Canis lupus familiaris: one gene and its partner. The protein of the gene in region 1 purifies or fractionates together with the protein of each later gene. This does not show direct contact. Links are inferred from orthologs where the notes say so. Each region holds a gene or a part of one and is shown in the gene's direction. Other genes may lie near its edges. The genes, in order: DTX3 and RNF114.

Region 1 (11,537 bases):
TGCAGTTAGAGGAGCTGTGAGATCTCTCTCCCCTCAAGGCCACTGAGTTACAGAGAGCCCTAGGAAGAGAGCATGGTTCTCTGAGACCTTGAGGGAAGGGCTGTATTCCCAAGATTCCCCTTACCTATTTTCAGGTTAAAGAATTGCCCACCCTTAAGGATATGGATTTTCTCAACAAGAACCAGAAGGTTTATATTGGTGAAGAGGAGAAGAAAGTATTTCTAGAGAAGCTAAAGAGAGATGTGGAGGTGATGATCGGGGTGCTTTGGGAAATGGCTGTTTCCTGTTGCTCCCCCCCGGGGCAGCTGTCTCTCCCGTTCCCTTTATTCTTTGGGTTTTCTGCATGTAGGGGAGTTGGGTATGGGACATAAAAAACCCTTAGAGGTGACCCATGGAGGGGATGGCTAGAATTGACTAAAAGGATGACCTCAGGTACCAGGACATTGATGTACTAAAGGGCAGTGGTATACTCCCAACCCTTGATTTTCATCCTTCCTTTCCCCAGGAGGGCCCCTGAAGCTCAGAGGGGAGGTATAAGGGTGGTGTGGTGCTGGGAGCAGGGAAGGAGATCTGAGGTATCTGATTTGTCAGTGGGGTCTCAGTTCCTAGTGCAGCTGAAGATCATGGACTACAGCCTTCTGCTGGGCATCCACGACATCGTTCGGGGCTCTGACCCAGAGGAGGAGGGACCTGTGCGGGAGGAGGAGTCAGAGGGGGATGGAGACTGTGACCTGACAGGGCCACCTGCTCTGGTGGGCTCCTATGGCACCTCCCCTGAGGGTATTGGCGGCTACATCCATTCTCACCGGCCCCTGGGCCCTGGAGAATTTGAGTCCCTCATTGACGTCTATGCCATCCGGAGTGCTGAGGGTGAGAGAAATCCTGGAAATATTAAGGGTGTTGGTGGTGGGGAGGGTTGGCCTTGGGGGAGTGAGGGGACTGAGACCAGCCAGGGTGGTGGGAGAGAGGCCAGTTAGCTTTTCAAAACAGATCTGACTGGTTCTTGGGAAGAGGGAATTGGGACTATACTTGCTCTTCCTCGCTTTCTTTCCCCAGGGGCCCCCCAGAAGGAGGTGTATTTCATGGGCCTCATTGACATCCTGACACAGTATGATGCCAAGAAGAAAGCAGCTCACGCAGCCAAAACTGTCAAGCACGGGGTGAGGGCTCCCCAAATCCTTTCCTATCTTTTGACTGGGAACAGAGGGAGCCTTTTGTACGGGAGCAATGGGGTGGCAAAAGGACGAAGGGCTGGGAAGGGCTGGGTGCGGAAGTGGTGTGGGGAGGACTGGAGGCTGCGGAGTGGGATGGGGTGGTGGGGTGCCTGACGCTGTGTTCCTACCTCCTCTCGCAGGCTGGGGCAGAGATCTCCACTGTCCATCCTGAGCAGTATGCTAAGCGGTTCCTGGATTTTATTACCAACATTTTTGCCTAAGAGACTACCAGACTCCGTGCTGCTTTATGTTCAAGGTGGCAGGGTTCCGAGAGGCTTGGGGAGCTGTGGATATGTTGACCACTACTACTTCTCTTCCTCTTTTGTTAAATTCCAGCTACAGGCTCCTTCTACCCACACAACTCCATCTTGTTGACTAGGCTTTTCCTGACCCTCAGAAATACACTGTCCTGTCCCCCCCTCCCCACCCGCCCACTTTTCTTCCATTTCTCCCTCCCTTCCAGCAATTCTGCTTGCTTCATTAGAGTGTTACTGTTGACTCACTCCCAAGTGCCTTGATCTTTGTAAATGTCCTGTTGTTTCTAGAACATAGGAGGAGATGGGGGAAGGGGATTACTTGCCATCTTCAGGAACTGACTGGACGGATGGACCTGGCTCAAGCAACTACTCTGGATGCATTTTGCTGTGTGGGATGAACTAAGAATGTCTGAATTTTGCTGATAACTTTATAGAACTCACTGTGGCATGCCTCCTTCCCGGTAGACCCTGGGATGGAGGACTTTTAAGATACTACAGGTGTGGGTGCTGGCATGCACACATATGATGGGTTATGGCCCATTTTACACACTAATGGGGTGGGGAGCGGCGAGCCAGCTGGTGCCTTACAGAGGTGGGACCCAGGAGGACTCTTGAAATTATTCAGGGAATTGGAAAAGGTGTCTGTCAAGAATTGACTACTACTCTCCAAACTCTTCCCTCACCCTACTTCCAACCCCTGCCCCTGTACTTCTGGGCACAAGAACCCAGAGATGGCCAAACCGTTCAAGCCTGGGTGAAGATGTTTGACTGCTGCTGCTCTTCACCAGGACCTTCCACACCTCCCAAGGCTGGAACCCTTCAGCGGGGGACGAGGGTGGGGGCAGTTTTGGAGGCTGGGATGATGGGCCAGGGTGTAAGGTTCACTCCCAATGCTAAATTTCCTTTCTTCACGTGTAGCCATCTCTGAGGTTTTATCCCCAGCAGGAGGAAATATCTCTACCTGGGTCCATCCTGGTCATTTCAAGAGGATGGAACGTCTCAAGTGCGGGAACCTCCTCTACTCCTTGGAGATGTGCACCTAGCATACTTCCTTCCCAACCCCTTCTCAAGCCCTTTTTCCAGTTGGATGTGTTATTCTGTTCTTTTCTGTCTTATACTGCTACTATGTCTCCCAGGGGACAGATGGACTTCTTTGTCATCTTCACTCTCCACCCCCAGAGAGGAGTCAGAGCCATAACTCAATCACTGGCCCCCTCCCAAGAGTTGAAATGACAAGTGGTAGTCTCAGAGTGTAGAGGACCCTGAGGGCCCAGATAGTGTCCTCCCCACCCCCTGATACCTTTGGGGCTAAGGCAGCCATTCTTGCTACCCTCCATCCCCTTTATGGCTTCTGCACTTTTTTAAAACATAAAGATGGGCACCTGCAACTGGCCTGTGGGGATGCAAAGATTCTTTGCTCTGTATCTAGCTGGACTGATCTGTCTCACAGGAAGTCATACAGTCATAAAGGAGAATTTCTCTCTCCCCTTCATCTTCTCCAAAGGAAGTAACAAGACGAGTCCACAGTTAAGAATTAGAGCCCCTATAATATCTTCCCATCAGGGGCCTGCTGATCTTTTTCATTCCAACCATCTACCTTCCCCTTTTGAATGCAATAAAACTCCATGACACCAGCAGCTGTTGCTCTTTAGAAATTGGTTTTCTGACCATGTGGCTGATGTATCATGAGCAGAATGGTCTTCGTTTTGTTGCTTCTGTTTTTCATCTTTTTTGTTTTATTAATTAATAAAGATCTTGTGTATTTACTCCCATCGCTGTCACTGTATAGGAAATAAATTATTGAATCCATATTCCTTCACAGACATGCCTCCTCCCCCCCTCTTTTCTGAGGAACCCTGTGCTTAGGGGTGCAGAGACCAGATGAAGAATTACCCATCTTTAAAATGTGGGGCCCCTAATTAAGGATGTGGGTTTCTAGTTAAAAGGTGGTGAGGGGTGTGCATGGCAATGGAAAACTTACTCTCCAGCTCTGTCAGAGTCCACGTATGGGGGGGCCAGGGAGAAGGGCTGATGGGGTGCTCCCTCTTCCCCCCCGGAGTTCTGGGCCTGATGACACAGTCACTCCTGTAAAGGTGAGTGAGCCTCAGAGCACGCTCCCTCACTTGTACTTGCTCACAGGAGCTAAAAGAAGAACGGGGTGTTCCCCCTAGGCTTCCTGGGAAAGATGTCCTGTTGTTTGGAGAGTAGGAAGAGTACAGCAGGGTCCTGGGAAAGTGGAGAAAGCGACCAGCCCTCCAGCCCAGGGAGGGAGTGAAGAGAGGGGTGGATAAATAGAGGCTGCTGCCAGCCTGGGAGATCCAGTGCTGTTTGGCTGAGGAGGCCTTTGGCTGGTGGAAAAACCTGGCTTGATGTGGCCCCAGGGAAGTGAGCTGGCCCGGGGGCGGAGAGCGCTCTGATGTGGGAAGCAGAGCAGAGCAGAGCAGAGCTGTTTGTTCTTGGAGCGTTTTTAACTCTACTTGTACCAGAGACTTCGCACCCCCACCCCCACCCTCACCCCCATCCCCATCCCCCCCAAGGCATTTTTTTGAGGCCTGTATTCCCTTCCCATTCTGCACTAGCCTCAGGATCCCTGTGGGTGGAAAGGAAAGTCGGAGGCGCTCACCCAGCCCCGCCTGCGGGCAGGTTGCGGGGGTCACAGAAGGTCACAACCTAGGAGAAGGCGAGCGCCCCGGGAAGGGATGGAAATAGTGTGGGCGTGGGGGTGGTTCTCCTCCTCCAGGACCAGGGCTTTCCTTACTGTGGCTCTGCCGGTCCTAGATTGTTCCTCGGCGCTTCTAGCAGCAGCAGGCGGATCACAGAGAACCGCCCCCCCCCCCCCCCCCCCCCGCGGAAGGCACCCGCAGCCCGCTGCAAGGGCCGAGGGCGGGCAGCGACCCAGGCCGCACCGGGCTCCGCGCCCCCGCCCCCCCCGCGGAAGGCGCCCCGCCGCGAGGGCCGAGGGGGGCCCGGGAGGGGAGCGGACCCAGGCCGCGCCCGCCCCCGCGCCCCCGCCCCCGCCCCCGCGCCCCTCCCCGCCGCGGCCCGCGCTCCGCCCCCGCCCCGTCCCGTCCCCGTCCCGGGGCGCAGCGCCCGCCCCCCGCCGCCCCGGGGCCGCCCTCGCGCCGGCCCGCACCCTCGGCGGAGCCCCCCGCCCCCCGGGCCGCCCCCCCTTGTTGCTAAGGCCCCGACCGTCATCCCGGCAACAGCCTCAGTCATGTGACCGGCAATGGCGGCGCTGACGGGAGGTAGGTGAGCCCGGCGCCCCACACCCCCGCGCCCGCGCCCGCGCCCCCCGCCCGCCCCCCGCCGGCCCCGCGCCCCCCGCGCCGCGGCCCGCACCCGGGCTGGCGGGCGGCGCCCCCGCGGCAGGCTCCCCGCCCGCGGGCCCCGACCGGGCGACAGGCCGACGCGGGCCTGCTTCCGCGCCTCGCGGGTCCGGGCCGCCGCCGAGCAGCCCGCGCCCCCGCCCGCGCCCGCGCCCGCGCCCCCCGCCCCCCGCCCCGCGGGGTCGCGGCCCAGCGCCCGCCCCGCCCGCCCCGCCCGCCCCCGCTCCCGAGCCGGCGGGACCGAGCCAGGACCCCGAGGTCCCGGGCCCCGCGGCCTTGGATGCGCAGGACGAGCGGAGGTTCCGGGGCCGCAGCCTCACCCTCTGGGCCTCGAGGTGCCTCTGGCCCGGAGGGGACTGGGATGGAGCCGCACAGCCGCTCCCCTTGGGGTCAGTCCAGGAGTTGAGGCCACACTGGCGGCCCCTCTTCTATTTGAGCCACCTTTGGAGGCGTTGTAGGGACAGCTCTGTAGCCGCACCCGGTAAGACTCGGGGGAGCCCCGGCTCCTCCAGCCGAGCCCCGCGGAGCCGCACCCTCCCGCCTGCAGACCCGGTCGCTGCCGGCCTTACTGCTCCAGGCGCGGGGTTACAAAGGCGACAGCAAGAACCTCGTTACTTAGGGGCTGTTGCCACTTTGCCCGCCTCCAAACAGACTTCCGCAGAAGGGACCCTGGGCTGGCCCGCAAGGAAGGCTCCCTAGCGACGGGGGCTGAATTGTGGGGGGACGTGGGGCAGGGTGAGGACTTGGGGAGCGTAGGAAAGCTTCTCACCCGTGTGATCCGAGGCAGGTGGCAAGAAAGACCTCCGTGGGGGGGGGGGGGGCTTTTCCCTTCCTGACTTCTCTCATCTGCGCCCTAGGCCTTCTTGAGAGCCTCAGAGCTGGGGAGGAGAAGAGGAAAGTTAGCTTGCTGAAGTTCCATCTTTAGCAACTTGGGAGAGGCTGGGGATGCAGCTCTGCAGGAGAGAAGGAGAGGAAATGGAAGAGGAGTTTTTGTTTTGTTTCTGGGCTGCTGGCGGAGTGGGGGTGAGGGGGGCCGGTCACCTTTGTCATCATAACCCTTTCCTTTCTACTCTCCCCGCTCCCCCCAGTCCTAGTCAGCTGAGTGTGGCAATAGAGGGATTTCTACTGCTCCCGTCCATGGGCTTTCCAGGTATCTGCCTCCCAAGGGGAACTCAGCTTTCGCCTTTAAATTGGTTTCCTCCATTCCATGTGCCAAGTAATCCCATTCCCAGTAACTTACACCCGGGTTCCCAGTCTTCTGTTACCTGGGCTGCTGGGTTGGAGCATGAGGAAAGTGGGTAGGGGGGTATCTCACCTTCCCTTCTTTTCCCTTCCACCCACCAGGTCCCACAGCTGACAAGTAGGAAGCAGGGACAGTGGAGCGAGCCTGCATGCCAATTCTAAGCTGTTCAGGATCAAAGTGAGCAAAAAAGTCTCCCTCCCCTTTAAAGAAGCTGGTCCCCCCCCCCCCAGAGGGAGGAGGGCCAGATTGTTTCTGTGATCTTGGGAGGAGTGGAAACAGAACCAAGACTGCTGCTTGGCCCAGACGATGATAATAATAAAGTCATAGAAACTTTCTTGCTCTTTAGTGGGTGCTAGGATTTGAAAGATAAGAGCTCTGAGACAGAAAATCAGCTGGGGTGGCTAGGAGTCAGGGGTTGGACTGTGGGACAGTAGAGGTGATAAAGGGCCTGAAAGCAACCTGAGGTAGTAGGCACGGATTTTGTCAAATGGGGACCCCCCACCCTGAGTCCCTTTCACCCTGGGGGCAGTGTCGTTCGTCCTGTCCAGAATGGCAGCCTGTGGAGGCACCTGCAAGAATAAAGTGACTGTCTCCAAGCCTGTGTGGGACTTCCTGAGCAAGGAGACCCCAGCCCGGCTGGCCCGGCTTCGGGAGGAGCACCGCGTGTCCATCCTCATCGATGGCGAAACTTCTGACATCTACGTCCTGCAGCTATCCCCGCAGGGTCCTCCCCCGGCACCCCCCAACGGGCTCTACCTGGCCCGGAAGGCGCTCAAGGGGCTGCTAAAAGAGGCCGAGAAAGAGCTGAAAAAAGCTCAGAGGCAGGGCGAGCTTATGGGCTGCCTGGCTTTGGGGGGTGGCGGGGAGCACCCTGAGCTGCACCGCCCAGGGCCACCCCCTCCCCCTCTGCGAGCAGCCCCGCTCCTGCCCCCAGGGGCTCGGGGGCTTCCCCCTCCTCCTCCTCCCCTCCCCCCTCCACTTCCTCCCCGCCTTCGGGAGGAGGCTGAGGAGCAGGAGAGCACCTGCCCCATCTGTCTGGGGGAGATCCAGAACGCCAAGACCTTGGAGAAGTGCCGGCACTCGTTCTGTGAGGGCTGCATCACCCGGGCCCTGCAGGTGAAAAAGGCTTGTCCCATGTGTGGCCGCTTCTATGGGCAGCTGGTGGGCAACCAGCCCCAGAATGGGCGCATGCTGGTCTCTAAGGACGCCACGCTCCTACTGCCCAGCTATGAGAAGTATGGCACCATTGTCATCCAGTACGTCTTCCCGCCCGGTGTCCAGGGGGTAAGAAGACCTGCCGTGCCCTTCGGTTTTCCCCAAGCGTGTTCTCTGACCTAGGAAACCTGGGTGAAGGGGAGTGTGTTTGTTAGATGTGATGTAGTCTTGCCGCCTCCCAGCATGCCTTCGCACCCGGTGCCCTGGAGCTAGCTGGTCCCCCCACCTTCAGGCCCAGCTTTTCTAGCCCACGACTCCACGGCACATATGAAACTCAGGTAGGAGAGAAAGGCTCTTGCCTCGGTGAACTTGGATGGATGACGACAGCTATTCTTGGCAGAGGTGAATTCTGTGGAGAAGGTGGCTCAGGTGCAGGCAGGCCTAGCGGGAAGGGATCTGACCCTCTTCACAGAGCAGTGAGTGCTGCTTTGTTCCAGACTGCTGAGAGGAAAATCTTGTTGACAGTGGGAGGTTAAACCAGGAGTGGTCGAGAGCCTCTAGGTGTCTCCTGCTTGACCATGCAAGGGTAATTTCCAGGCCTGGTTTGCAGAGGGCTGAGGAAGCTCTGAAGGAGAGTAATGGGAAAGTGGCCCGGGCTAGGCAGGCTTAGAAGCGCTGGGAGTGTTTTCAGGTGGAGAGGGGAAGACAGAGAGAGATTATTCTCAGTCTTCACATTTCTGCTGACTTATCTGGTGGGTGAGGACGAGCGAGCGGCTTGCCATCACTTTTGAGAATCCATTTGTTGCTGAACTGAGACTTGAGAGATTGAGGCAGCAGAAGGAACTTCCTTAGTAGTAAGGATTTTGTCCAAAAATGGGCTCCTGCTGTCCAAACCTTTCAAGGAAGTCTCTCCCTCCTTGAAAGGCTGTCGGCCCGTTGCTGCCCCATCAGCATTAGGCGGCCAGTGGACCAGGATGACCCTCGGTTGGCATCACGGGCCTTCACGTGCCCAGCTGCTCACTGTCCTCTCTGCTTCCCCTTCGTCCCAGGCTGAACACCCAAACCCAGGAGTTCGGTACCCTGGCACCACACGGGTGGCCTACCTCCCGGACTGCCCCGAGGGCAACAAGGTGCTGACCCTGTTCCGCAAGGCATTTGACCAGCGTCTCACCTTCACTATCGGCACGTCCATGACCACAGGGAGACCGAATGTCATCACCTGGAACGACATTCACCACAAGACCAGCTGCACAGGAGGACCCCAGCTGTGCGACCCTCCTTCATTTCCTTTCCCTCCCTTGGCTCCTCCCCTTCTCTCTATTTTCACTCCAGGGAATGACAGCAACCCCCTCTCTCCTAGAGCCTCCTAACTAGAGAGGACCACCCCCAAACTATCCCAGCCATCTCTTCCATCCCAGCGTCTCTACATTCCACCTGGCCCAATATGCCCAGCTTAACCTACAGAAATAAGCAGAAGTGGGCTAAGTTATCTCAGGATTGGCTATGCTCAGGGGAAGTGGGGAGCGGCTGGAACTGGGCCCCCAGAATGAGGGAGAGCATGAGGCTAAGATGAGTCAGCTGGAATGGCTAATCCTGACCTTCGTCTCTCTTTGCTCCCAGGTTTGGGTACCCGGACCCCACCTACCTGACCCGGGTGCAAGAGGAGCTGAGAGCCAAGGGTATCACAGACGACTGAAGGACTTCCCCTCTGCCAAGCCCTTGCCTTTCTCCATAGGACCCAGCGGAAGCCTCTGTTCTCTCTCCCTCTGCCCCCCCCACACCACACAAACAGGGGACCAGTCTGACTGGGGAAGGAGTTCAGAGAGGGAGGGGGCAATCCCTTCCCCTGTCCCCTCCCCCAGGCCAAGTGCTTCTGTGCAGTGAGAGCCGCTCCCTTCTGGGAGGGGGATCTCCCAGGCTCTGCTCCCCACCTCCCCATGTACATACTCCCAGTCTCCCTACCCCCTCCTTTGCCCTTGGCTTTTTCTGGTATGTGCTGTGCTCCAGTGACTAAGCTGAGAAAGGACCTGGGTGGGGAGGGAAGGTCTCTCGAGCCCCCTGCTCTACTGCTGAGCTTCGGCATGGGGGAGGGGCAGTGGGGCTGAGGTGAGCCCCCCCATCCCCCGGAGCCGGCCCTGTGTGTTTCTCAGAACCAGTCCCCCTTCCACCTTAACGGGTCCTTTCTCTCCTGTGTCTCTGTCTCCGTCAGTCCGTCAGTCCGTCTCCTGCTCTTCTCTGCCCCCTATAAGGAGCCTCCTTACCCTGTTCTGGAATCGCCGCCAGACTGTAGCTTTTAATTTAATAAAAATAAAGTAAAATATGCAACTCTCTCTGCCACACCCGTTCTGTTCTGTGGCCCCGGGTGGGGGTGGGGTGGGGAGCGGAACCCGCTGAGAAGGGGAAGGGGTGGTGATCGGGTAAATCCCCGCGCGTCTCCCCAGTCCCGGCCTCCAGAGAGCCTGGGACACGGCAAGTGCTCAGTGGGCTCCCGACGCATCCACGTCGGAATCGGGACTACGGGGGGGTTGGCTCGTCGTGGAACTTGGGTTGTGGTAGAGAAAGGAACAACCCTACCCCTTTGAGAAGTTTGGCTGGGGTGGGAGTGGGGGCGGAGCCGGGCAGGGGGCGGATTCCACAGCTGCAACTCCCCGGACGCACGCAGGCCGAGAGCCCCCCAGCTTCCGTGCCCCCTCGGCCCTGAAACTTGGAGCAGGGTAGGGGTCCAGCATGAAGCCCCCGGACCGCCCCGCCCCTGGCCGCACGGACCGGATCCTGGGGGTCATGGGGGGCATGCTGCGCGCATGCGCCCTCCCAGGGCCGGAGGGGGTAAGAAAGGGGACCACGGTGGAGTCGGGAACCTTTAGGGGGCCTCAGGAGGTCTGCACCCCACAGCTCAGTTTACCCGGTCGCCGCACCCCGGGAGTTCGGGGCCTGGGTCTGGGCGAACGGCTCCCTGCAGCCCGGCCTAGGCGACCCTTTTACAACAATGTGGATTTGACAGGAGGAGGGCGACGCGGGAGGTCGAGGCCGGGTGCGGAGGGAGGTTCCCTACCACCAGTCTTGCCCACAGCCCCCGAGCAGAGGCCCCCTAGGGCCGGGAGGGACCGAGACAGAGTCGGACTGTCCCGAGGGTGATCAGAAGGGGGAGCGCCAGCGTGGGGTCCCCGCCTGGGCGCCGCTGCCCGGTAAGAAGCTGGGGGCGGGGTGGGGCCCAGCTACCGCCCTGCGCCCAATTCAAGTAATGCCGCCCTTGCTCGCGTGAAGGTTTGCATCCAAACTGCGCGGGACCCATCTAAGTGCCGAGCGCTCCACGCTTCTCGCCCCCTAGTCCTGTGTGGCCCCCACATCACCCGATCCCGCGGCTGTGTCCCCGCGCCCCACCCCTGGCCCCCCGCCAGCCCGGCCGCCGGGACTTCGCCTTAATTGGTGATTAGCCTCAGCCAGAGTCCCGGGGCCTGGAGGGGAGCAGGGTCTGGCGGGAGGGCGGCACCTGGGCCGTGTTCCCCGCAGAGCTCCCCATTCCCGCTCCCCGAATGGCGGGGGGGGGGGGGCTTGTCCACCCCTGCCGGGCTGGGGACAGTCCCAGCCCCCAGCACGTCTCCCCGCGGGCCCGGGCCCATCCATCCGCAGCCCTCTCCACCGCCGAGGCGGAGGGGCGACCTGGGCAGACCCCGCCGCCCGGCTCGCCCCCACCCGGCTCTCCGCAGTCGGGAGCCCGAGAGGGGAGGGAGGGGGACGGGGCGGGGAGCCGAGGCTGGAGAGGGGAGGCGGAGGCGGTGGGGACGTGGAGTGGGAACGCGGCGGTGCCTGCGGGAGGGGGATTGGGGCCGGAGCCCGGCGCAGGCTGGAGGGGGAACCGGAGGCAGAGGGCGGAGCCGGGCCGCAGAGGCCCCTCCCCGCGGCGGCACCGCGGCCCGGCCTGTTATTCGGCTCGCCGCTCGGCCGGGACCCGCGCAGCGCCCGGGACCCGGGGAGCCGGCCCCCGCCCCTCCCAGCCCGGGCCTAGAGCCCCGCCAAGCCCGAGGGGCCGGAGCCGGGGCTGGAGCGGCCGCCGCAGCCCGGCCCCGCCCCGCCCCGCCCCGCCCCGCCGGACCGCTGGACCCCGGGCCCCGCACCGCCTGGGTTCCGGAAACCCTCCCCGCCGCGCTCGCCGCCCGGCCCCGCGCCGCCCGCTCCCCGGGGCCCCGGCGCCCCCCAGCCCCGGCTTCCGCCTACCCCTGGACACCCCCTCCCGGTTCCCTCCCTGCCCCCTCCCCCAGCCTGGAGCGGGCTAGGAGGGAGGGGGGTGTGCGCCCTGCGCCGTCCCCCCGCCCCCCGTGATTCCCCCTGCATGGCCGGCCCG
Region 2 (10,830 bases), on another chromosome or scaffold:
TTTTTAATGAGATTTGTTTGCCTAAATTTAAAGAAAAGGCAACTCGATGTGGGGTGAAATCTCAAGTAACAGTAATGATTTAAATTGAGGAAACAGGGATCCCTGGGTGGCGCAGCGGTTTGGCGCCTGCCTTTGGCCCGGGGCGTGATCCTGGAGACCCGGGATCGAATCCCACGTCAGGCTCCCTGCATGGAGCCTGCTTCTCCCTCTACCTGTGTCTCTGCCTCTCTGTCTCTCTCTGTGTGACTATCATGAATAAATAAATAAAATCTTTAAAAAAAAAAAAAAAAAAAAAAAAAAAAAATAAATTGAGGAAACAGCAGTTGAAACACAAAGCCTGTTCCAATTCTGCAGGTGTCTGGATCTGACTTCCACATTTTCCAGATTTCCCGCGGCCTCGCGCCCCCCCCCTCCCTCCCTCCCGTCCGTCGGGGGTGGTGAGGGGGAGGGGCAGGGGGCGTGGCCCGCCCACAAGCCCCTCCCCAGCCGCGCGTCCTTTCCATAAGCCCCGCCCCGAGCGTCCCTCGCCGCGCAAGGTCCCGCCTTAGCCCCGCCCCGGCGGGCGCAAGCCCCGCCCCGAGCGCGCGCCAGCCCGCGGCCTCGGCCCCACCCCCTCGGGCTCCTCCTTCTCGGCCGCCGTTGCGCCGCTCGGCGCGGCAGCAAGATGGCGGCGCAACAGCAGGAGCGTGAGGGTTGTGCGCAACGGGCTGGGCCCGCAGCGGAGTCCGACCCGCTGGGCCGCTTCACGTGTCCCGTGTGCTTAGAAGTGTACGAGAAGCCCGTGCAAGTGCCCTGCGGTCACGTGTAAGCGGCGAGCCAGGGCCTGGTCGGAGGTGGGGGGTGAGGTGGGGGAGACCTGAATGGGGAGGGGCGCGGCCCGGGCGGGGAGGGTCTCGGAGCGGAAGCGCGAAAGCGCGAAAGCGCGAGGACCGGGCCAGAGGGGCCTCTTCCTGGGGCCCAACGGGGCTCCTGAAGGCGCGTGGAAGTCGGCGGGGCGCTTCTCGGTCCTGCTCGCTTCCAAGTAGCGCGTCGTCTGGTGAGCGCCTCCTGTGAGGGGGCCTGTGAGACTCCTCACCCGCGATAGTGGAAGTCGCACCCTGTCGGGGATCAGGTGGGGCGCCTGGCTCGCTCCTTCAGGTAGAGCATGTGACTCGGTTCTGGAGGTCGTCATTTCGGGCCCCGCTTTGGGCGTGGAGTTCACTCGAAAAATATAAAATCGGCCCTCGGAGAGCCACCGTTGCCCTTGAAAGCCTGAGCGTTGCTTCCGAAGTACATGGTACGTATATGGCGCCAGGTGTCCAGTTCTGCCAAGTAATTCGAATGTGCACTGAAGTTGGAAAAACGCCGAAAACTAGACTAAAAGAACAAAAGGGAAGTCTTGATGGTAGAATCTCACCAGGCTGCCATCAACGGAAAGGGGTTGGGAGTCACAGATAGCGATTGTTAGCATTCCTGCTTGTGTCCGAGGTTTGCTGCGTTTTGTTTGAAATTAAGCCTCCCTGGCCCGCATGCCGCTAATACGCTGGTCACAACGGCTGAAGGGGATGTGTGTGAAAATTGCCAATACAGACCCTCGGCTGGGGTAGGTGCTCGAGGTTGTTGGGATTTTTTTTTTTTTTTTAAAGCTTTTATTTATTCACGAGAGACACAGGCAGAGGGAGAAGCAGGCTCCATGCAGGGAGCCCGACGTGGGACTCCATCCCTGGTCTCCAGGATCACGCCCTGGGCCGAAGGCAAGGCGCTCAACCGCTGCGCCACTCAGGCGCCCCCTTGGGATTTGAATCTAAGCCTTGCTCCATCAGACACGCCAACACCTCAGTTGAGAGGACTGTAGAAAATGTGGTCACTTCTTGCCACTGGGGGGGTTGGCATTTCCTCAGTGGTCTCCTGCAGTGCTTATTATCTTCAGCATCACCTTGGCATTGGTTTTAGGACACCTTTACTGGAGAGTAGACAAGATAGGCACCTGCTGGGCCTCACAGGTATTCTTACTCCTACAGCAGTACTGCAGGGAAAGAGGGTTGGCAGCCATATGGCAGGTGAGGGAACTGAGGCTCACATAGGTCAGGCTCACTATTGTCTAACTCTTCCCACATGAACTGCAGGTGTCTCCTTGCCAGCCCAGAGAATAATTTGGCACCTGGCAAGGGCTCCCCAGCCACAGAGTGCTTTTTGCTTCTTCAGGTACTCTTAAGCTTTTTCTAGTTTTGGGCTGTTCCCACTTGGAGTTCAGGTAGCCTGGAACTCTTCCTGCTCACCTGCATCTCCCCTGCCAGCTACCCCAAATCCTTTCCAGACTTTAAGTCCCAGTTTAACTTAACCTCCCTTATCACTATCCCTACTCGAATTACTTCCCTGCTTCACTCCTGGGGTTTCCTTCTTCCTTGCATAAAGCCAGACTTAGGGATCATGAGGGGCAGTGATCCTATCTGTGTTGCCCCTCTCTGTATCCCCATTGCCCAGCAGTGTCTGAGCATCCATCTTCCAATCTTATATTCAACTGACTAAAGTATTTGTGTGCTTACCATGTGCCAGTGTCTTGGCACAGTAAGAAACAAGATGATTCTGCCCTCAAAGTGTACAAGCCAGTGAAGTGATAATTAGACTAACAAATGTTCAGACTACTGGGAAAATTCAGTGTGGAATGGAGGGTCATAGGGATCAAACTGGTTTGTGGGGGAGAGATCAGGTAATGGATGAATGAACTAAGAAATTGGTGGTGGAAACAAATTTCATGAGCATTAAAGTGAAGGCTAGACAGTGTTTTTATTGAGTCCTTTTTTCTTGGGATCAGCCCCTCACTGCTTTTACCTGATTTTGTGTTAATTCACTGGATTTCATTCACAATAGTTATAAAGAGGCTTGACTCAGCACAGTTTACCAACTGAAGAGCAGCAAAAGTTGAAGTTTCCTTGAGCCACGTGAACCTTCCCTAGGTCAGAGGTCAAGGGGCAGTACTGGGTTTCAAAACTTGGTTCCTTTCTGCACTCACCGCACTAGTTTCACGTGTTCATCAATTTTGATGCTGATTGAAGACAGAAGAATACAGCTCTGTGAAGGGAGCACAAATCTCCCTTAGCTCCAGCCAAGTGCTTTTTGCTCAGGCTAGTTAGTGGCAGATTTTTGCTAACTTTTATGCTTAGAAACCAGCATCGTAACTTTGGCTGGCTGGGGTGTTGAGTTTTTATAAAACTTTATTTTAAGCCCTGAATGACTGTGTCCCTCCAGTTTAGCAGAATATAGCTGGAGAGGGGTAGGTGTTGGGAGCCCAAGAGAAGGAACTCTTTACACAGCACTGTAGCAGAAAGGATGGAGCACCTAAAAGGCTCAATTGTATTAAGGCCTATGAAATAGGAAAGGGAAACTGAAAGCCAGCCCAAGATACAGGCACTTTTTAAAACCAGGCTTGCATGTTGGGGATGACTGGAGCACAAAGTGACTCGTGAACATTTGGTCAATGAATTGTCCTGGTGTGTGCTTGAAGCTGCTTTTTTCTACCAGCTGGGATTGGTTTCTCTGGACCCTCTGCTCTCTTGGGTTCTTCTTGTGATCTGCCTTTGAGAATAGTTAAGTCAAATGATGGCCACAAGCCTGTCTACCTGTCCAGCCTAATCACTTAACATCTTCCAGTGGTCTTCATATCATGGTCCCAAAGGCCTCCTTTCTGCTTTTTGGAAATCCCTTTGTACTTGGTATATCCTCTCTTTGTGGAACTTTTTGTGTCCAAGTTCGTGTGACTGTCTCCTCGGAGTTTTAGGTCTTAGCTCAAATATTGCCTCCTTAAAGAAGCTCAGTATGATCCACCTTGGCTGATCTCTTTGCCTTGTTTTATTTCCTTCCTATACTTTTTAAAAAATATTTTATTTTATTTATTCATGACAGAGAGAGGGAGGCGGAGACACATGGAGAGGGAGAAGCAAGCTCCACGCAGGGAGCCCGACAGGGAGCCCGACGACGTGGGACTCGATCCCTGGTCTCCAGGATCACACCCCAGGCTGAAGGTGGCGCCAAACCGCTGGGCCATCAGGGCTGCCCTATTTCCTTCCTATACTTAAATCACTATCAGAAACTAACTTTTTTTTTTTCCCCTCCACTTTGGAATACAAGCATTAGGAAGACAGGGATTTTGTTTCTTTCTCAACTTTGCTCTCAGTGGTAAATCATTAGGGCCCCTCAATTTCTCCCAGCCTGTTTTATTTTGTGTGGCAGTGTTAACATCTAGCTTTATCACAAAGAGGAAGAAAATACTTAGATATGGTAAAAATTTGTCAGATGGCATAGGTTACCTTTGATTATACATCCTGAGTTCTTCCTGGCAAGTTTTGTTATCTTGCCTTAAATCCCAGGTCAGGTATGTAGCCAGGCTGTTTCCATCCCTTTATTGTCCTTTCTTTCTGTATACCTTATCTCAGCATCACTCCCTGCATAGGTTTCAGGATAGAAACTTGGCCTTTTTTGACTTTCCTTCTCCAAATTTAGTAAGTTCCCAAGTATTACTGACTCCATTCTGAATCATTTCCTGAGTTAATTCTCTGTTGCCTCAGGCCCTTAGAATTCCTTGCCTTTAAAAAAAAAAAAAAAAAAAGAATTCCTTGCCTTAGCCAATCTGTTTGGTTTCTACTTCAAGGCTCCTGTCTTTTCTCACCTAAAAATATTTTTTGAAAACCAACAACTCTCTTGTCCATGATAACCTCAGCTATTTTTCTAAAACTTGGATTTGGCCTTGTTGATATCTTTAAACATCTGGGTTCCTACCATTCATGAGGAAAGATGTTAGACTTTTATTTCCTTAGGTGCGTCATGAATTTTTAAGTCTAAGTGCCTGGAATGCTTTTACCTTCCTCTGCCAGCTGAGCTCTTTTAAGGCTGTTTTGTGAATGCTGCTTCTGAAGTCCTACCAGCACTGTCCTTCTTGGGTCACAACTAGGTGGTCTTATCTCTGTCTTCTCATAGTGTTTTACATTCACCTCTGATGATATAGCACCTCCTATTTGTGGTGCATTTCATATGTGTTTAACACTGTACTGAGGGGCTGCTAAACATACTCCATTCCAGTAATCCCAGAGGTGGCTACTACTGTCTCCATTTCACAGAGGAGAAACTGAGATTCAGGAAACCCCACCAAGATCCCTCAGTGGCAGGTGCTAAGGTTTGAGGACTGTGCCACAAAACCTTTTCACTGTGTATCATGATAGTTTGTGTTTGTTTCTGTTGTTGGACCTGTGTGTTCTTTGCAGGACACTCCCCCATCCCCTTCCTGGCACGGGAAGACTCAGTATTTGAATCAGGAACAGGGAGCAATATGTTTATAATCCATTATTCATTGATGTCTTTTTAAAAGTTTATCCATTTTTGTTGTCTTGTCTCCACAATGCATGACGCAGGTTCTCTGTATGTCTTGTTCTAGCTTTTGCTCTGCATGCCTGCAGGAATGTCTGAAGCCGAAGAAGCCTGTCTGTGGGGTGTGTCGCAGCGCTCTGGCACCTGGCGTCCGAGCCGCGGAGCTCGAGCGGCAGATTGAGAGCACAGAGACTTCTTGCCATGGCTGCCGTAAAAATGTATGTGGAAGTAAAATGGAAGAGTCAGTGTCTTTCTGCAATGAGAGGGGGTAAAACGCAGAGCTGTTGCCACGTTGTTCCTGAAGTTAGAGCATGACTAGGTGACTTACAGCACGTGTGCATGCTAGTTATCTGTGGCAATGGCTGTGCCGGTTCATCTTAGTGACCTTATTGGTTTTGCTTTGTTCTTTTAACAGTTGGTTTAGTGTATTATATCTTGTAGCTTTGAAAACCATAGAAGTCCATTATCCTAGTTTTTTCCCTATAAAAGAGCCACTTTTCCAAAGCAGTATGTGTAATTTCCATTAGAATGTAATGACAGAATGCTATTTCTTAATTTTTTTAAGTGTAAAATAAGATAAACATCTCGAAGTTACCTGCTGCAAAAACAAAAACAAAAAAAAAAAAAAGGAAGTCACCTGCTGCAGTGAGCTAGAGGGGAAATTTTACAATCTTTATCATTATAGATATAAAAAATATTTGAATTTTTTAGTACTTGACAGGGAGGAATCATGACATAAAGATTAGGATGAAATTATGTGATTGTAAAAACAATACCTAACATTCGAAATGCACCCGTGCTTTTTTGTATAATCATGCTAGAATCAAGTGTATTTCAACATCTATTATAATTATAAAGGAGAAAAACTACAATCTCGTTTTCCAAGCTATACACACACACAGTCTTACAGGTTTCAAAATTATGATTCTGTTCATTTCAGACCGTAAAGCATATGAAATACTGTAGGCTTGTTTCCCACTCCAGAGATTACCTGTTTAAAAGTGATTGGGTTTAGAAGGCTGCAAAATATTTTCTGCCCTTTGACAAACACAGATGTAGGAATTTTACAAAATAGGAGCATACTCTAGTTCTAGAGCTTTTTCTCACTTTTGAAAAATTTTTTTCACTTAATGACTTACTAGACAACCTGTCCGTTTCATTACTAACATATTAGTATGGATGGCCATAGAATGGATATACTTTACCTTCTTTCTTTCAGAGTGATTTAGCACTAGGGCTGCAGAGTGACTATCATTCTGAATAGGGCTGTTTCCTATCCCTTTTAATTGGGAGCTCTTTGGTTGGCAGCTTGAAGTCAAGTTCTTTAGCTAGAGGTAAGACAGAAGGGAGCATTATGGTAAGCTGGAGCTCAAATAATGAAGCTTTCTTTTTTTTTCTTGTGGTTTCCTTTCATTTTGAAACTCAGGATATTGAAATGAAATTACCCGTTACTTTATCCTTGTACTACATGCATGATGGATTTTTTTGTTTTATTCTGTATACTTTTGATTTTTCTCCATTTTTAAAGATTAGTTATTATATTGTATTATATTTCCAGGTGTACTACTATACCTCCAAAAATGTCTTATCTTCCCTTTACCTCTTCTCTTTCTTCATTCCTTATACTTTTCCTTTGCTTTTAGAACACCTGCGATGAAGCACTCTCCTCTAGGTTTTCTTTCTCTTTCCATCTTGCAAGGACTAGATTTTATAGGGGAAATGGAATTCAGATTTCAGTTTTTTTTTAAGATCATTTATCACAATGTGGCATTCTGTAACTTTAATTAGAATTACTGGTGTTTATCTCTTTTATTTAAATGATTACTTTTTTTTTTTTTTTTTTTTACTGCTGCACATAATGAAATGTGTTCTTGGCTTACTATGAGGAGCTAGTTTATTTTTAAAAATTTTTTTTAAAGATTTTATTTATTCATTCATGAGAGAAAGAGAGAGAGAGAGAGGCAGAGACACAGGCAGAGGGAGAAGCAGGCTCCATGCAGGGAGCCCAACCTGGGACTCCATCCTGGGTCTCCAGGATCACACCCTGGGCTGAAGGCGGTGCTAAACCGCTAAGCCACCCGGACTGCCTAGAGGAGCAAGTTAGAATGCTGTGTGGAAAACTTTTAAACCTTCACTGCATTTGGAGTATGTGAGCAGAGAGCATACCTTGAATAAAAGCAAACCTCTAGGAGAGTTATTTTAGAGTGGAAGCAGATGTCCTGGGTTGGTTAAATAAGATTATCAGCCTTGGTATTAACAAAAAGCCTGCAACAAACTTGCTTTCAGCCCTGTCAGCATAGCCAGGAGTCTGGTGAGATTGTTTGCCAGAGTGGTTCAGGTCTGGTTTTCATTTTGACCTTGCTTTGGGACTGTGTTGGTACTGACTAACTTGTGGGCTCTGATTCTTCCTAAGTTCTTCCTATCCAAGATCCGGGCCCATGTGGCTACCTGTTCCAAATACCAGAATTACATCATGGAAGGTGTGAAGGCCACCACCAAGGATGCCTCCCTTCAGCCAAGGTAAATGACTCAAACACTCCTTTAGGTGGAGGTCATCTTTGCTATGAAGACAGTGGACACTTTGCATGTTGAAGGGTTTAGTTGTAGGAGTTTGGGGAAGTAGAGGTATAATTGTTATTCTGGCTACAGCTGATGTCAGTTTTTGTGTTAGGGGTGGGGTGGGGTGGGGGGTTGTGTGGAGGACTCTGATGCTCACTTCAAGTATTAGCTCTATTATTTTCAACATTTGATCTCATTCTGAAGTGATTGTCAGAATCCCTGTCATAACACATTGCACTTTGCTCCTTTTTTGGGGGAGTACAGTAGTCGAAATGTGGAAAAGTACTCAGGTTTCTTCTGTTTTCCTGCCTTTCATCTTCCAGGAATGTCCCCAATCGCTACACCTTTCCTTGCCCTTACTGTCCTGAGAAGAACTTTGATCAGGAAGGACTAGTGGAGCACTGCAAGTTATGCCACAGCACGGACACCAAGTCTGTGGTAAGATGACCTGGACTTTGTAAATTTTCTTTTATATACACTGATCTCCTGTGTATCCTTCACCTGGATTCACAGATGATAACATTTTACCATATTTGCTTCATGATACTCTATATGTACATATTTTTTGCAGTGATAAGTTGCAGTGATAAATTGCAGGTACTATGACTTTTTGCTCCTGTATACTTCAGCATGTATCTCCTAAGAGCAAGAACATTTTCTTAAAAAATCATGTAAAAAAAAAATCTTATTTTTTGTGTTTGTCACACTCAGGAAGTGTAACATTGACAGAATCTAATATTTAATACAGAATACGTGTTTAAATTTTAACAATTTTAGGGGGTGCCTGGCTGGCTCAGTCAGTATAGAATGTGACTCCTAATCTTGGACTCCTAATCGTGAGTTTGAGCCCTGCATTGGTCATAGAGATTACTTAAAAAAAAAAAAAAAGGGGGGGGGGCGTGGAATACCTTGAAATTTTAATATTGGAATATCCTTCATTGCAATATCTTCCCCCCAAATCCTGGATCTTTGTGTTATATGTAGTTGTCATGTCTCTATACCTCGGCCTTTCTTTTGTTTTTCTTTTCTTTTTTTTTTTTTTTTTAAATTTATGATAGTCACAGAGAGAGAGAATGAGAGAGGCAGAGACACAGGCAGAGGGAGAAGCAGGCTCCATGCACCGGGAGCCTGACGTGGGATTCGATCCTGGGTCTCCAGGATCGTGCCCTGGGCCAAAGGCAGGTGCCAAACCGCTGCGCCACCCAGGGATCCCTCCCTCGGCCTTTCTTCGCCATTCATTACTTTAACATAAAGAGGACAGGCCAGTTGTTTTGTCAGATGTCCTTCAATTTGGGTGTGTCTGATTCTTCATCATTAGAGGTGGAGAAGTTCCATGAGCGATGTGTGCTCCGGGTGCCACATCAGGGGTCATGGGATGTCTGTTGCCCCTGTCATTGGTTATGTTAACTTGGATCCCTTGGTGTCCACAAAGTTTGTCCTCTGCAAAGCTACCATTTCCCTAGTTTGTCTGTAGTTGTGGGGAAAGAGAATGTATGAAATGATTAAGAAAGTGCTTATCAGTCTTCTCAGTTTAAGTATCAAGACTGGCATGTGGTTTTGTTTTAATGTGGTCTATGTCTGCAGTATTACCCTTTCCTCTTTTTTTTTTTTTTTTTTTTCCCCAAGTAAGCCCTATGTTCATCATAGGGCTTAAACTGAACAACCCCAAGATCAAGAGTCACACACACCACTGACTAAGCCAGCCAGGCGCCCCCTTCCCTCTTAATGTCATTGACAGGCTAGATCTTGATACAACCTCCTCCATAGTTTTCAGTTTTTCCATTTATTTTAGGCTGCTCTCTTGACTGTATACCTAGATTTATAGGCAAACGTCAGCTCCCTTGGCTTAAAAGGTGGTGCATAGACTTTAGTATTTGCATGAGCTTTTGTTAATTGGATTAGGTCTGGTGGCATTCTTTATTTTTCTTTTGCTGCAAATTTTAAGATACAGGTGGCCTGTTTGAGAATACCCTAGATCTTCTCTTGACTTTATTGAACTCCTTACCAAGCCCACATTCCGGTTAATACAGCCACTTTTTACACTGAGCTCCCTGAGCTCTTACTGTTGTGCTGTGACAGATTTGACAGATAAATTCCCTCTGGTTTGCTTTTCCCAACTCCTCTCACTGGGGAACTTGGCCAGTTTAGCTCATTGTGGGTCATTTTCAGCCAGGCCCTATTGCTGCTAGGCACACACACTCTCTGATGGCTGTTCTGAGCACTGTTTGCATTAAATTCGGAGCATGAACTGTTCTCAACCTTTCCACAGGTAACACTAAATCCTGCTTTTAACTTACTTCGGAATATCAGGTGTGAATTCCTTTCTTCCTCCTTCTGTCTCCATTGCTCTCTGATCTACCTCTGAGGTTACAGACTGGCAGTCTGTGGGATACATCTGACCTGTACACATTTTAACTTCCTTTTTAATCTTTAAAAATCCGAAGATTTCTCAGTCTTGATGCTCTACATTTGAGAAACTGGGAGTTCAGGCAAGAGCCAGCTGGCCTAGAGTAGTTGCTGCCCACCTAGATGGGATGGGTTTATACTCATTCTCCTTTGCTCTTGTGTCTTACTAATCTGGTCACTGTGAGCACTTGAATTTGCAGCCCTTCTTCCTTGTCCTTATCATTCCATTTTGTACTCAGGAGAAGGATGCTTTCCAAGTCTGACTCTTACGTGTGTCCTCAGACCCATAGAGAGGACTGAACTTAGGGCCTAGCACAAAGTAAGACTTCCCTGCTCCTGTGGCTTGCCCTATCCTGTGTCTTCACTCCTCTCACCTCAGCTTTGCCCTCTACCGATGCCTCGCCCTTGTTTTCCTTAGATATGCCCATCTTCCCTGGCTCCTTAGTGGGAGGAATATTCAATCTGTGCTCTCTAGTGTTTAGTTGATCTTTTCCCTCAAGCTTGTCATTTTCCAGCTGCTGCTGC

Evidence for each region.
Region 2: the proteins of DTX3 (region 1) and RNF114 purify together in Homo sapiens (affinity purification with mass spectrometry; 3 studies listed by BioGRID and IntAct, counting the BioPlex papers as one, with this or other methods). This does not show direct contact. The link is inferred for Canis lupus familiaris from reciprocal best matches to the Homo sapiens genes DTX3 and RNF114.

What each region holds. Positions count from the first base shown.
Region 1 is NC_049231.1:2,031,828-2,043,364, forward strand, and holds DTX3 (probable E3 ubiquitin-protein ligase DTX3), read left to right. Parts: upstream 1-4,587; 5' UTR 4,588-4,716; intron 4,717-5,054; exon of another isoform or gene 5,055-5,278; intron 5,279-5,305; exon of another isoform or gene 5,306-5,885; 5' UTR 5,886-5,947; exon of another isoform or gene 5,948-6,106; intron 6,107-6,112; exon of another isoform or gene 6,113-6,141; 5' UTR 6,142-6,188; coding exon 6,189-6,217; exon of another isoform or gene 6,218-6,569; coding exon of another isoform or gene 6,570-6,588; coding exon 6,589-7,324; exon of another isoform or gene 7,325-8,244; coding exon 8,245-8,462; exon of another isoform or gene 8,463-8,815; coding exon 8,816-8,891; 3' UTR 8,892-9,525; downstream 9,526-11,537. Other genes in the region: PIP4K2C (phosphatidylinositol 5-phosphate 4-kinase type-2 gamma), read left to right, coding at 135-248, 603-870, 1,057-1,160, 1,355-1,435; ARHGEF25 (rho guanine nucleotide exchange factor 25), read left to right, coding at 9,923-10,021, 10,266-10,380. UniProt on the Homo sapiens protein: Regulator of Notch signaling, a signaling pathway involved in cell-cell communications that regulates a broad spectrum of cell-fate determinations.
Region 2 is NC_049245.1:37,088,123-37,098,952, forward strand, and holds the start of RNF114 (E3 ubiquitin-protein ligase RNF114), read left to right. Parts: upstream 1-620; 5' UTR 621-664; coding exon 665-804; intron 805-5,407; coding exon 5,408-5,558; intron 5,559-7,753; coding exon 7,754-7,860; intron 7,861-8,222; coding exon 8,223-8,337; intron 8,338-10,830. UniProt on the Homo sapiens protein: E3 ubiquitin-protein ligase that promotes the ubiquitination of various substrates. In turn, participates in the regulation of many biological processes including cell cycle, apoptosis, osteoclastogenesis as well as innate or adaptive immunity.